2 linked regions of the Lepisosteus oculatus genome follow. The protein of the gene in region 2 purifies or fractionates together with the protein of the main gene of each other region. This does not show direct contact. Links are inferred from orthologs where the notes say so. Each region holds a gene or a part of one and is shown on either strand. Other genes may lie near its edges.

Evidence for each region. The genes of interacting proteins can lie anywhere in the genome.
Region 1: the proteins of slc12a4 (region 2) and ras-related protein Rab-6B purify together in Homo sapiens (co-immunoprecipitation; 3 studies listed by BioGRID and IntAct, with this or other methods). This does not show direct contact. The link is inferred for Lepisosteus oculatus from reciprocal best matches to the Homo sapiens genes SLC12A4 and RAB6B.

The regions. Positions count from the first base shown.
Region 1 is NC_090708.1:10,335,279-10,342,502, forward strand, and holds the start of ras-related protein Rab-6B, read right to left. Parts: upstream 3,010-7,224; 5' UTR 2,829-3,009; coding exon 2,759-2,828; intron 1-2,758. Other genes in the region: slco2a1 (solute carrier organic anion transporter family member 2A1), read right to left, coding at 6,051-6,171, 6,498-6,621. UniProt on the Homo sapiens protein: The small GTPases Rab are key regulators of intracellular membrane trafficking, from the formation of transport vesicles to their fusion with membranes. Rabs cycle between active GTP-bound and inactive GDP-bound states.
Region 2 is NC_090715.1:3,583,142-3,590,246, forward strand, and holds the start of slc12a4 (solute carrier family 12 member 4), read left to right. Parts: upstream 1-4,081; 5' UTR 4,082-4,353; coding exon 4,354-4,489; exon of another isoform or gene 4,490-5,622; intron 5,623-7,105. UniProt on the Homo sapiens protein: Mediates electroneutral potassium-chloride cotransport when activated by cell swelling. May contribute to cell volume homeostasis in single cells. May be involved in the regulation of basolateral Cl(-) exit in NaCl absorbing epithelia.

The DNA of each region.
Region 1 (7,224 bases), on a different chromosome or scaffold from region 2:
CAAGGTGACAGGGAAATCAGCACCATGGACAGCATCTAAAGCTTCTTCAAAAGCATTTTACTGTAAACCACAAGAGACAAAAGCTGTACTGTTTTGTATAGAACTGTGCTCAATCTTAAAAGCAAAGTAGTAAACCTACAGAGCCAGACATAATTAAGGTTTCAATCTTAATTCAATTAATTTCTTTATAGATGTTTCCCTATGTTAGTCAACTTATATTTCCAGAATATATTTCGAACTTTTGCATATAGATTTGTTAATAATCAGGTTAATAAAAGCACTGCCAGGATAAATTTAATATAGAAAATAATAGAGAGTTACAACAAACATATATAATATAATTCCAATATCTTGGAATTAAAAAAAGCTTAAAAACAGCTCCTTTAACAAAGTAATAAAAACTGTATAAACCTCTAATTTCTGGATGTTAAGCCAAAATATTAATAAAATAGAACAATTTCTACCCAAGAAATGTTCTGTTACTCTTAGAAAAGTGCAAGATTGCAGACCTACAGTGCAGATACTGAATCTTAAAAGGAAACCAATCATACCCTCACAGAAAGTACTATTTTATTTCATTAGCTGAGCAGCAAAAGAGCCAGTAAGGATCAGATGCTATCAGATGATTGGAGACAATGAATTGCCCTTGCTTTGAAAGAGGATCTCTTAGTCGTATACTGTACATATATATAAAATCTCAGTAAATAAAAACAGGACAATTCTATTCTGTAATATATGCATATTTAAGTGGGTAGGTGAGACATTACAAGAATTACCAGACTTATGTAATCTACCTTACTGTCCGTCAATACATTTTTTAGAGTAGAAAGAAGTCTGTGGAGGCCATACTGACCCATACATCATGAGAGTCTCTTGGGAGTTTGTAGGATGGCAATGTCGGCAGAAAACAATCTCCAGGAAAGTGGATCATGATGGATGGAGCCTATCCGTGCAACATGTTGCCACACATAACAGACATGCGACAGTGACCCACACTGCATAAGCCAATGACCTTGGACAAGACAAGCTAGTTTCTGTCTGAATAACATTTCAGCAGCAACATATTGTGTGCTTCAGCACAAAGTAGAAATGCAAAGAATAACAATACTATTGGTTATAGACTGTGACGAATGATTTCCTACTCTATGCGCCTCTAAATTTAAGGAATCAGACCTGCTGCCCTCAGTCCAGGATCAATTGTTATTGTGTGACTTTCTATGTGATGTGCCATTCCAAATACATCCCTCAACGCTGCTTTTGTGACCACTACAGGACATACAGGGCGAGAATGACATCTGTCATACCAATAGATTTCTGGGTTGCAATGAATAAGCCGCTTTATAATAACAAAATACAGATTTTTAGGGGTCATGATACCTGAAATATTTTACCTAGAATGTTTCAGGTGCAAATGTAACGGAAACTGAACCACAATCAACCAGTGAGTACAGTAAATGAACTGAGGAAAATGTAAAACATCACTTGCAAGTATTGCAAGGATTTCTGTAGCCAAAATAAATTCCCTGCAAGATTATGGGACTGACTTTTAAATCAAGTTTTTTCTTTCAAAAAAATTAGAATTATTTGAGTTGCGGTTATATTTAGGAGATGACGCTTTTCAATGTCTTTTCTTCAAAGTTTTGTCAGATAGTAATGTTTGTTCCATTCAAGAAAAGAGACCAGTTAACATACAAGAACGATCAGTATGCTCTCAGTCCAGCTTTGCATGTTTTGTTGTTTATAATATTTGACCTGTGCTGTGTACATTAAAATCTGCTTGCAACAAGATCGGAATTAACACTCTCTTGGAAAATACAAGAGCTATGCCTTTTAGAAATCTGCTTGCTCAAAACCGAACTCTACTTAGATAATGGAACAGTTACCAGTAGTATTCCATGATATACCCAGTCTTCTCATACATACATACAATATAGTTATATACATGTGTGTGTTACATACATACATAAATTAATGAATACAGAAAATGGAATACAAACACCAAAAATCGTCTATGCGCTGACGTTATCACCAGATGAAGAAGAGACTCTGTAGCTTTACGCCTGATAGCAAGTTGTTCCACAGACAGAAGCAAACTGGGTGTGTCTCAATGCATACAGCATTATTTTTCATTTATTCAAAAATCAACTGCTGCTCGCTGAGTAAAAAAATAAAAAAACTATTAAGCAATCAAAATCAAAGGGACATTATATGATATAGTGTTCTATTTAATTTTAAAGCAATACATTTCGCTAACAATTCATAACGTTAAAATTAGATGAAATCTTAATACAGCAACTCATATCGGAACAAATTACTATTGCATAACAAACCGAACCAAAATATTAAGTGAAAAAGACCATCTCACAACAATAAATTTTAAAAAGTATAGTTTTAAAAGATATGATAATGATGATTTTGTGATCAACACCAATATTAAAAAAAAAACATGCTTTACACTTAATATTTATTTAAATAAAGATTTAATTTACTCAGTTTGGGATTTTAGGGATTTCGGTATGATTTAATTGCTTTGCTCCTTACAGTAATAAGAGTACAAAAAACTTGCAAAACACAGTATATCGAGAGGATATTTCCTTATTTACCGATTTTTTGTGTAACTTTTTTTTAGTCTTATTATAGGAATTTTAGAGGTATTTTTCTCAATTTTGTACAATTCGTGATTTCACCAATTCGGCAAGTGCATGCAGATTATTTTAGCACTTGGGCAGCTAGGAGAAGAAAACAGAAGAGGACTCACCGCTTTGCTCCCCCAGAAAAACGAGTTTGAATTTTCTTAAAGGGTTCCCAAAGTCGCCACCCACGGACATGTTTGGGCTGATTTTTTACTGGAAAGGATGATTGATATGCGATCTACCTCTTCAGGTACACTTGCAGTGGATGCTCGATGGGTAAAGATACGCTTAAATCCGCTGAACGATGAGAATGCTGCACTGCCTTGCCTGTCAGTTTCAGCAGCCTGTGCGCCTGCGCGGCCTCTCCTCTCTGTGTCTGCTCTCCCCCCCCCCTCCTATATGACGTCATGCAAGTGATGTTCAGGCAGTGCAGAAACATACCCGATCACATATTAGCAAAAGTAACGTCTTCCTGCTTTTAGTTTTTACAATAACCAGAAATCGAGTACACTAACTTGAAACAAAAATTAAATTTCGTTGAGCAAAACACAACAAAATGCCTGTCGTGCTCTATTCCTTGTATTCCACTCACGACTGGCAGTGCTCACTGCTTAGTTTGTTGATAGGGCGTATCTCACTGCAGTTAAATGTGATTTCAAACAACAACAAAAAAAAAGGGTTTTAAAAATACTGTAAACCATAATCCTTCTGTTACACTACAGCTATAACCTGCCTAAATGAGAAACGTTTCACTGCCAGATGGAAAAATCACTTTTTAATGGCAAAACTAACCATAGACTGATCATAAACAAACCAAGAGAACCAAGATCGTCTTTAACTAATGGAAAAGTTGCATTCTCTTTTGTTTAAAGATCACAGACTATGTGCTTCGATGTAACTCCTACTTTGGTTAATATTTTCAGAACCCTAGCAGTATTACCAATTACATGGTGATAGCAAAGGTTTGGTCGTAATTGTGCATTTATGAGGTACCCTTTTCTCCAAATGTGGACTATGTACTTCAGTAGAGCAAAGGTGTAACCCTATAATCTTTTATAACCATTTTTAGAAAATAAATATCAGTTATATAGGTGTTTGTGACAAATCAACCCCTACAGTAATTCAGCTCCTGATTCCTACCACCTATCCAGACCCTAACAGAAACTATGATTTCTGCTGCGCTCCGCTTCGAATGTGCCTGTTTACATCTTTTAGAACAACTACGGTTTCATACGTACTGCATGCTCTATGACGGAATGAAGCAGGCTACATAAAACCACACTCAAAGCAGAAAGGTTTGTTTTTGCGTTTAGGCATAAGTGATTTTAAAGCCAGCTCTGAGACTGTTTGCCCCCCGACCAATGTTGTCTATCCCTGACGCTGAAAATGTGATCAAACCGAAATCTGTAAGGTGGAGGACTACCTCTGGTCTGCCACTAGGTGGCGCTGTCTATTAGTGATGTAATCACATGCCTTCACAACTGCTCGTACGCCAGTTAACCATTCGCCCTCCTGTACATATCTGTATACCTCACTTGTCCCCTAAAATTCCGAAACAACCATAAATGTGTTTCAATGGAACTTTTGTGGAAGTGGTATGACAAAGTTTTTGGACAATTTCAGTAGGTTCACACATGAATATAATGGATGAAATAGCTTCTTCTGATTCGTGTTCTTATTGATAATATATCATGCTTTCAAAGAAAAATCCAGTGAGACACAAGAGAGCATTTTTATATTTATTATGTCTTTTCTAACAAAATATATCAAAATGGCATGATATCAAATTGCTATAGACATACTGTATATTTTTAATGTTGTACATTAGTTTAAACATTAATTTAAACCATATACAGCTTCTAGATAAAATCTTTGTGCTTCTGACTTTATTCACACAGCTGTGATCTTATGTAAACTGTAGTTTGATGCTAAATACAAAAATTATGATGTGTAAACGTAAATTAATCTCTTGTACTAGGAGTAAGCAGGAGAATTTCAAAAATGTCTGTAGTCTTATAAACATTTTCCAAGTGTGAGATGTTTGATATCAAAACATTGCTTCTTTATTAGGCTAAAAATAACACACTCCTTAAAACAAATATAGTACAATTAATTTAATTTCAACCACATTAAACTTTACTCTGCACCAGGAAAAAAGGGAGGTCTACTTTTTATTTAGAGGAAAACAGATATTGTGGCAATGTGACATTTTACAAATCTAGCTGTCTGGAGAAAAATCTCAACTCTTGTGTAGCTATTTTTAAAATGTCTTTATTAAAGAAGGAGCAAATACTTCTCATGGTGTTAAAGCCAGCATAGTGTTTCATCTAGTAACAGTCAGAGCTATACTTTTTTAAAACTCAAACCTTATGAAATATTACATTTTTGACAAAAAAACAGTTTTTCAAGTGAAGAATCCAATGATGATACATTAATAAAATTAAAATATACAACTATAAAACCAAACTAGATACTTGTTACATTACATACAGCACATACAGCTTGTACTTCACCCTTCTTTAAAAAATTCAGCCCCTGTATTTTTGGTTTCAATTAATTCACATTACACTCCCTTTGAAAATGGGAACTGTTAATCAATCTGATTCGTCATTGACAGTAGGGTGGTAATGTTTTGTATATAGTGGTGCTGTCATAAAAAAAAAGATATATTTTATCAGTTTATTTGTTCAATGTTCGTCTAGAGTTAACAAAATTAAAATATGGTAGACTTAGTTATATACAATACACAATATAACAGGCAATTAACAAAAATATAATAAGGGTATGTTAAGCTCATTACGATAGAGCCCACAGTCTAAAATGCTTCTGCTTTATTCATATTCACTTCATACTTAATTTTTATTACCTATGTAGCCAAATGGCTTATTAGCAATCAATTAATTTCTCATTCCTGATGTCAGTGCGATTTTACCTTGAGGGAAGATTCCCCAAAACACAAAAAAAGTGATTGTATCAAGAAGTTTAGAGTAAAAGAAGAAAGGATCAAATGTAAAGATTATCTCTTTCACGCCTCCCAGAAAAGCTAATAAATAACAGTTGAAATAGCAGAGCTTTGAATCTGTAACATTTATCAGCACTTGCTGTCACTACCAACCATTTATTAATTATGAAAAATAATCATATGATGTCCAAACTATTCCCTGAAAAGGGAATGGCTTTCTTAGCAAATGAGTAAAATCCAACAGAGGGTGGGTAATATGAGGTATTCCAAGCTTGGCGATGTCAAGAGCTCTTGTGCTGGAGTGTTTAACTTTCTTCCTTCTTCAGCAGAATGACCATTTTAAAGGCCCGGAAATACAATGTCACTTTCAACAAACTGAAATGAAAGATGAAATCATGCAAACCGATTTCACATTTAGTTTTTCCGTATGTACTGCGGAAACAGGAGCACAGATTTCAAACAGGCCCTTCGGGTCTCTTCTGAAAGCTGTAAGCATTGGTTCGATGCACTTTCCACCCAACCAGAGCTAGCAAAACAATCCCCATGGCTTTAAATCCAACTTGTATGCCCAAGTATCTGCAGAACAAAGTGATTGGATTAGAACATTTGAAGCATATCTCATCAAACACCATAATTAGCAATTGTGTGGGAGATGCTGTAAGAGGCCTTTCTTTCCTGATGTGTCAAACAAAGAGAATTTACATTCTAAAGAACTAAGGAAGAATACAGTATGTTGCTGTGTGATGTCATGTGACAAAAACCCTTTGTTCCCAAACAAACATCTTTTGATCAACAGCAGAAGTTAACAAACTCAGTAACGGGGTTAACATAACCCCCTTTCCCAAAACCTGCAGATACTTAAAGGGTAAAGAGATATAACAGATCAAGTAGAATGTTCCTACCTGTTCCTAAGGAGGTTGTTGTCATAGTAACTGCAAGCTCCAGCCTTGTTTGCACATATCTCTTTCCACCTGATGCAGGAGGAATCAATCAGCACTCCAAATATGGCTGGAGCTGGCAACCAAGCTGGGAACGGAGAGAGGAAGAGGTGACAACTTCTACACAACACTGGGGCAATTTCTGTTCAACAGAAGTGGTGACGTATCATAGTTGTGTCTGTTTCTGCTGAAATCTCCTTGGCAAGAAATTCTTAAAATGTTCATTAAATGTATGCTTACTCAGAATTAAATTCTAATTTCTCTCTTTTTAAATGACCTATTGTTATTACTTAAGAAATACGTAAGAAGCGTTTCCTTTCTGCGACATTTCAAATCTGATGTTTTAAGTTTTGATGCAAGTCCCACAATTTTTGCTTGCACTATCATGCTTAAATTGAACCTACAGCAGCTGGGGGCGATATTGGACTTCATTTAAATCACAGACACACAAGAGGAAAACAAGCCTCTGCTGCCTGTGACTGGTGAGCCAGTATTTTACACATAAACACTTAGGCTGTCTCAGAAACAAAAATACAGAGTACTAATAATATTCAAGTATTTTAACAGGATATATATCTCAGTGTCACTGGGTCACTGCACCATACTGTTGCTGATATTTTGTGTGCTGCAAAAGAGTGTATTTCAAAAAATTTCTCAAGGAAATTAAAAAAAAACTAGGAAAAGTTCATTC
Region 2 (7,105 bases):
AACCTTGTCAATCCAGGCCGCAGCTCACTAACTCTCCTCTCTCATTCTTTATTACACGTTTTAATGTAATAAGATGTGTAATAAGGAGATTGTATAGACTAGTCTTGTATAGTGATGGGGACACTATACTGTAAAAAGGCGCCGTCTTTCAGATAAGACGTAAACTAAGGTCCTGACTGTCTGTGGTTGTTAAAAATTCCTGGGCGTTTCTCAAAAAGAGTAAGGGTGTAACCCAAGAGTCCTGACCAAATTTCCGCCCAGCCTTTACCAATCATGGCCTTTTAATAATCCCCCTCTCTGAACTGACTTCCTCACTCTGCTCTCCTCCCCACTGAGAGCTGATGTGTGGTGAGCGTACTGGCACACTCTGGCTGCCATTGCATCATCCAGGTGGGGCTGCACACTGGTGGTGGTGGAGGGGATCCCCATTACCTGTAAAGCTCTTTGAGTGGAGTTATTATTGTTGTTGTTGTTGTTGTTGTTGTTGTTGTTGTTGTTGTTGTTGTTGTTGTTGTTGTTGTTGTTGTCGTCATCCACAGTAACAGACAAAGGAATATATATATATGATGTTCCCTTTTCTGTCAGTAGGCTTTACTACATCTGTATTTTTTAAAAGATCTTTATTATCATTAAAATGTATTTCAAACCATGTTCTTCACTTTCTATTTTCGATTTTCACTGTAGTTCCACATGAAGGGACTGTAGCCAACTGAACCACACGGCACTATTAAAGTTGCCAGGACTCCTCTCTCCAAAACAGGCTCTTTGTGTCGCCCTGAACTACTTTACATGCAACTCATAAGACATTAGCGAACCGATGTCTGGTATGATTCTGACCAGGTGTCACGGTGCTTTCTCACTTCCTTCTGTCTCCTGTGCTCTGTCCCCTTGTCCCAGGGACAGTCCAGCCCAGTCAGTGTCCTCACACGGTCTGCTGTCACCACTGACTGTGTGGTAATTAACAGGTGCCCAGGCAAACAGGCCAACAGGATGTCATGGCTCAATCTTTGTCGATTGTTAACTGCACTACTGTTTAGGCTGGGAACACTTAGAGACCGTGATTAAAACAGACACACAAAAGGAAAAAAACACACACCAGTCCCTGACAGATACGCTGGTCACTGCATGCCTACAAATTGTTAATATAGCCCCAAGCCTCCTTTATCACTTCTTGACATTAACATTTTCCTTTAATGAACAACATAATATCAGCAAGAGGAAACAATAAACCCTCTTGGGCAAATTGTTGAAGGATTATCTTATCAAACTGTCAGTAGGAGATTAAGTTTTGTCCTTCTCCTTAAAGCAGTCTTCCTCTAGACCCATGTGATAGGGCAGGTCTGCTTAATGAAGCACCAGTCTGGAAACAGATAGCAGTGATAACCTTGTGAAATCAGAGCGCTTCTTAGGAATGCATGGTGCTTTGCATTGCAAGGGGCTGTTACAGGGGTCGTACCGTATTCTGCCTTTGCAGTGTTGTGTCACTGTTATTTTACCGTCTTCTGTGATGCTAGCCCACATACTCAGGAAAGAAAGGGGAAAAAGTGTAGACAGCGAAAATGTTCCACACCAGAGTTATGAAGTCTCCTTCCATGAGTAAAAAGGCATAGCGGCAATTGTGGACTTCCTGGAAAGCGGGTCTTTGTACAGCTGCCGGGTTCTCGGTAATGACTCAGTGAGGGTGGGCAGATTACCCACTCAAATCGTCAGCTGACACACAAGGCTCAGCTGGACACAAAATGCCCCCGCTCTGGAGAGGAGGTAAAATTCACTATCTTACCGGGGACATGTCTATCGTCACCAGTATAATTGCACTCGTACCACACGCTATATTCCTTTAAATTAAGTGTAAGTTTGCATCGGATTAAACAGTGCGTAGTGTCTCAAAAGCAATCTTTCGTGTGTTGCAGAGCTCCGGCAGGAGGCGTGTTTAAAAAGAGGGCGAGAGGCTTATCACACACCTGTTCAACCACAGACACTCACTTGGATCCGCCCTGAATCCCTTGTTTAGTCAAATTAAACATTAATGAAAATTCTCCAGTCTTATGAATTAGAGCGCGTTTATTTCCAATATGTCATCTACACAATTGCACGCTCACTGTAGAGCTCTGGTAAGACCCGATTTTTGATTAGTCGGAGAAGAAAGATTTTCTGTCCCTTAAATCTTTTGTATTTAATCGTTGGCAATTGTCATTCCTTTCCCTTTATCGATTCAAAACGTGAAGGAGAGAAAGCTAATGTATTTCTATGATGAAGGAGTATCCCCGTCTGAGTCAAAGTAAACAGAATTCAGTCTCAGTAGCGTCTCTGAAGTCACCCTCTAACGTTTTCGCGGACATGCAAACATAAATGAATGAGGCGGAAAAGGCTTTAGCATTAATGAAGATTGTTTTGTGTGCTTCCACAAACCAGGGGACACCAAGGTTTGTAGTGCTGAGAACTGTCCTCTTCAGCGACCGTGTGGGCCAGCGGGTTGTGGATGGTGAGTATTGTACAGTACAGTAGGAATAGGGAAACGTGAAGAGGGCTTCTCCACCTTGTACACATTTTCTTAGCATTTGTTGAATGATCTCCAGACTGAAGTTAAATAATCGCACCCAGTGGGGAACGAAGGGCCGTTATTTTTCAACCTCAGCTGCTCCATAGATGAATTTTGATTACAGGCCTTGAAAGTGTAGAGCTCATCTGCTTTGATCTCTCCCTGCTCATAATTATTGTTATTCAGTTGCAGGGAAATGTGTGTAAGGTAGAGTGCGCTAACAGAAGAACAGCAGACAGCAGATCATGCCAACTATTAACACCAATCGTTGCAGAAAAGACAGAGTTTAGTATTGTACAGGCGAGTGCGAGACTGAAACTGCTGGTTACTGAGGTTGTAATCGGACTGCTACAGTCGACAAAGACGGTGTTGTGTTTTAATGGAACAAGTAAAAGGCTTATTCCATGGTGAAAAGAGGGGAAAATAAAACAACGTTTCGGCTGTGCAGCCTTCTTCAGGTGTGAATTATGTTGCCTGTAGCCACCCTCCGCTGCCGAACCCCACCCACAGGCGGGGTTTCAGCGAGCGAAGTCTGTCCGGGGGGGCGGCTGGCGTGACGTCACACGGAGGTGCCGCTGGGTTCAGAGGTCTGGTAGGCGTCCGGATACGCATCTGGATCCCGAAAACAACACCCTCGTTTTGCGGTTAGGAAAAAGCCAGTTAAAAGTCTACAGTTTTAATTCAAGTGTCTCCGGCAGTGCAGAAATAAAAATATATCGCCCTCAATTTCTTAGTTGGTGCTGATTATATCTAGCTTCAAAACTGGAAGAGTGACCAAGGAAGATGATGATAAAAAATAATAAACTTTATTTATATAGCGCCTTTCAACGTGGCTTCTAAAAGCGCTTTACTGAACGACAACAACAATAAAAAATACACAAGATAATCATAGATTATTATTTGTAAGGGTTGTATATACAAGTAGTGTGAATTAAGTGTGTAGTGGATTAATTGTGCGACTGTTTACAACGTGTTTAAAAAGTCTATCAGAAGCACTTGTGCAATCCAGAGACCAACTAACTTTTGTGGGAAAATGTGTTTTTGAAGGAAACTTACGTCACCTCTGTCTCATGCCGGTTACAAGCGCAATTACATTTACATTTCAGCTGGGGGTGGAAGGAATAAGATCATTTTTGTTTTCCATAAAAAATACATTTGTTCCACATTCAGTATAAGTGCTTTTTTTTCTATCCCCAGTTGATCTTCCAGTTGAGCAGGCTGATTTTTAATATTCTGCGGCCCAGTCAAAACATTTCTAAAAAGAGTCACACATTTTAAATGGTACAGATACAACAATGGTTTGGAAAAGGAGAAAATACCAGAAGCCCAAGACGCTAAGCAATACTATATTTTAAATAAAAATATAATTAAGGAGATCACTTAAGTTCCCAGTTTATTTTCCTTTTTTCTCTCTCTCCGCCTGAAACAAAGTTGTGAGGGAAATTACCCAGAACTCATTTAGAGACTTGAGTGCGAGAACTCTGTGTTCCGCTAGTTTGAGAGCTGGCTGTGCGTGGCGGGGCAGGGGGGGAGTTTGTATTGTCTCTGCTTCTTTGTAGAGATCATAAAGGAGGCTAGGGCTCCTGAGGAAGGCTGTAATGATTCCTGTCAATTCAGACTTATTCAGTGCAAACTTTCAAGCTCCGGGTAATGGGTGGAGTTGGGTAATATGGTAATTTCCTCTGGAGGAAGTGACCAAACTGTACTGGAATGCAGTGAGAGATTTTGGAGTTTAGCTGCTGTGGCAGGGAGTGCTCACTGAACTGTTGCTAAGAGTTAGCAGGACCGAGCTACCGTTATCTGTGAGGAACGAAATGCCCCATTTTACAGTGGTACCAGTGGAGGATAATAGCCAATCAAACTATGACAGTTTGGAAGGGATCAACTGGGTTGACTACAGAGATACGGGGCAGGCTTACCCAGACAATAATGACACAGTGAGTTCTGATGGTAAGTTTCAGACATTTTTTTTCTGACCTCTGTCGGGAATTTAAGTTTTATCTGTAATTCTCACGATCTGAAGAGAAAGGATTTTCCTGGGTTCTGTGAGGAATGCAGAAATTAGCCTGTCATCTGTCTTTTTGTTCTTCAGCTCCTATTCACAATGATTGATGAAGGTTACACACATTCTTCATTCTGTATTGATGTAATAGTAGCAATCAAAAACAGTTTATTGGTTTCACTTTTTATTTCATGGTTATTTCCTGAGATCCCCTGGCACTCCAGTCCTTTGCATGGCTTCATGAGGTCTATGTGGGCTGGTACTATATTAGGGAGCAGAACCAGGCAGTGACAAAACAAGTCTTTTCTAGTGCAGACAGATGGCAAAGTAGTTGTCTGTCACAAAGACATAACAATTGGACAGGGGAGGGGGCGGGGTGGGCAGACTGTCACTATCAGATCTTCCACAAATCTCGCACAGAGAAGACAGAATCGCTGTAACCAGACAGAGAGTTTTGTGTGCCCCTGTAAGCAAATGGTGAACGTTATTTCTGCAAGCTGCCTTTCTTTGTCATGGCTTGATTTAAGAAGTGCTACGCAAGCAGTTTTGCTGGGAAGTTACAGTCTTCCCTTGTTAGAGTCCAGGAAAGAGTCGTCCAGATCCGCAGCCACTCCTTTCCAATAGAGAAAGGAAAGAGTTTGGAACTGCAGGGTAGGATTTCAGTGTGCCAGTAGAGCATTACTGCACGGTATCTTTCAGAAGCATTATTACTGGGGGATCAAACGGCACTTTAGCTTACAGATAAAGCAGTAACGCAGAGTGCTGTAACTTACCATTAGGGTACGTCTGACATATTAGTCACTGCAGGGTGCTCCTTTCAAGCAGTAAGGATGACAGCAAGGATTATATAAGAAGAGTGGAGACGGAAAGTTCCAGTCTGCTTGGTCTTGACATCTGCTCACTGCCGTGAGGCATCTGGGCCCAGTGCCCACTTGCATTTGTTGCTAGCTTACACCGAGCCGCTGTTGAGACGCTTGAGGGGTTGAAACATACAGCCGAGCGAAGATACTTGTAGCAGGAACTTGTCCGGGTAAAACTCCGCAAACCGAGCACAGCTGTTCTGCACAACTGGAAATGTTTACTGTAATAAAAAAAGAAAGCTCTGTAATGGAAGAAGACTTGAGTCCGCCTCGCAGTGAAAACAAAACTTTGCATAAACACTCAGTCGATAAATCCCCACTGTACACAAAGTTTGCGCTGTTTTGTAAAGTAGCCAAGCACAGCAAAAACAATAAAATAGCTTTCTATTTTAGACACTTCCTGTACCCACTGCATCCTGTGCATTTTCTAATGATCTGAACTTGAATTATTGTTTTGAAAGTGTTTGTTATGCTGGTATTTCTCTATCCTAATTGGGAAGGTAATTTATCGGATCCATGCATTTTAATCCTCCTTCATAGTCTGGCTGACTCTTGCCATGCAGTTCTCTTTGTGAAGTTCTGTGTTTTCCAGAACCAGACTTGCTGAATTATCTGCGGCCCAGGTATGGCAGGCCAGGAGTCACCACACTCTGATCCAAAATCACCTGGTCTGGAGCTTGAGCACAGGGTGATGAGTGGTTTGACCTCACATGGTGAACACAGGAACACTACGCAATCCCCATCACCAGACTCTCTCTCCGGCCCAGCTCCTGGCCAGCCACACCAGACCCAAGCTTTTTTTCCAAGCCTCTAAACATTTCTTTACAAGAAAGAAAAGTAGAATAAACTCGAAGATGGACAGAGCTTTTGAACAATTCCTGGCACAGAAGTGTTTTGAATGTCACACAAATAGAAGATTGTTTTTTTTTTTCTCAGATGCATTTTTGTTCATTGCAGGTGTTACTTAGTAACAGTATGGCAGGGCATGGGAATGATTATCTCTTTTGAGAGCTCCTCTGTGCCCAGGCCTGAACTGGGAAACAGCTCCAGGCCAGCTGAATTTTTTTGAACTCTTGAACAGAGTAAATGGTGAGCTGACTAGATCTGAGTGTTCAAAACTGTCAGAGCTGCTGGCAAAGTTAACCCTGCGGTCCTCTTCAGAATGAGCAGTGAAAAATCAGCCGGAGAACAGTTGGAAACTGCAGGGAAATGCATTTAAAACTGAGAACAGGCATATCTTTACACATTTATACAACAACCACCATGTTGTTGAAGGTAATATCCTGGATTCAGTCAAGAAATGGCTGGATCAATAAGCTACTAATAAGCAGGCTGGATGGGATGTACCAGGTACCCTCCAGTCGTTTGTAACTGTTCTTAGGCTTTTAACACACAGAAAACTGACTGGCATTTTCCTAGGTGGTGGAGGATCCTGGAATCTGCAGATCTAGGACCAAGTGGAATTGAGCTTCCGTGTGTGTGAGCAGCTCTTCATCTAACGCTGCGTTATTTTCGACTGCGAGCAATAGCAACTACAAAGACCGAACTCTTCCCTTAGTGTCCTCTAGCTTTATTGACGAGATTTTGGCAACTGGCCGTAAATACAAAGACTGGCTGTCATTTGTGTGTACAGGTGCCGAAGTGAGGCTGAAAGGCGAAGGGCTGAGTTAGTGCAGACTGAAGACCTGTGTATATCCCTGACAG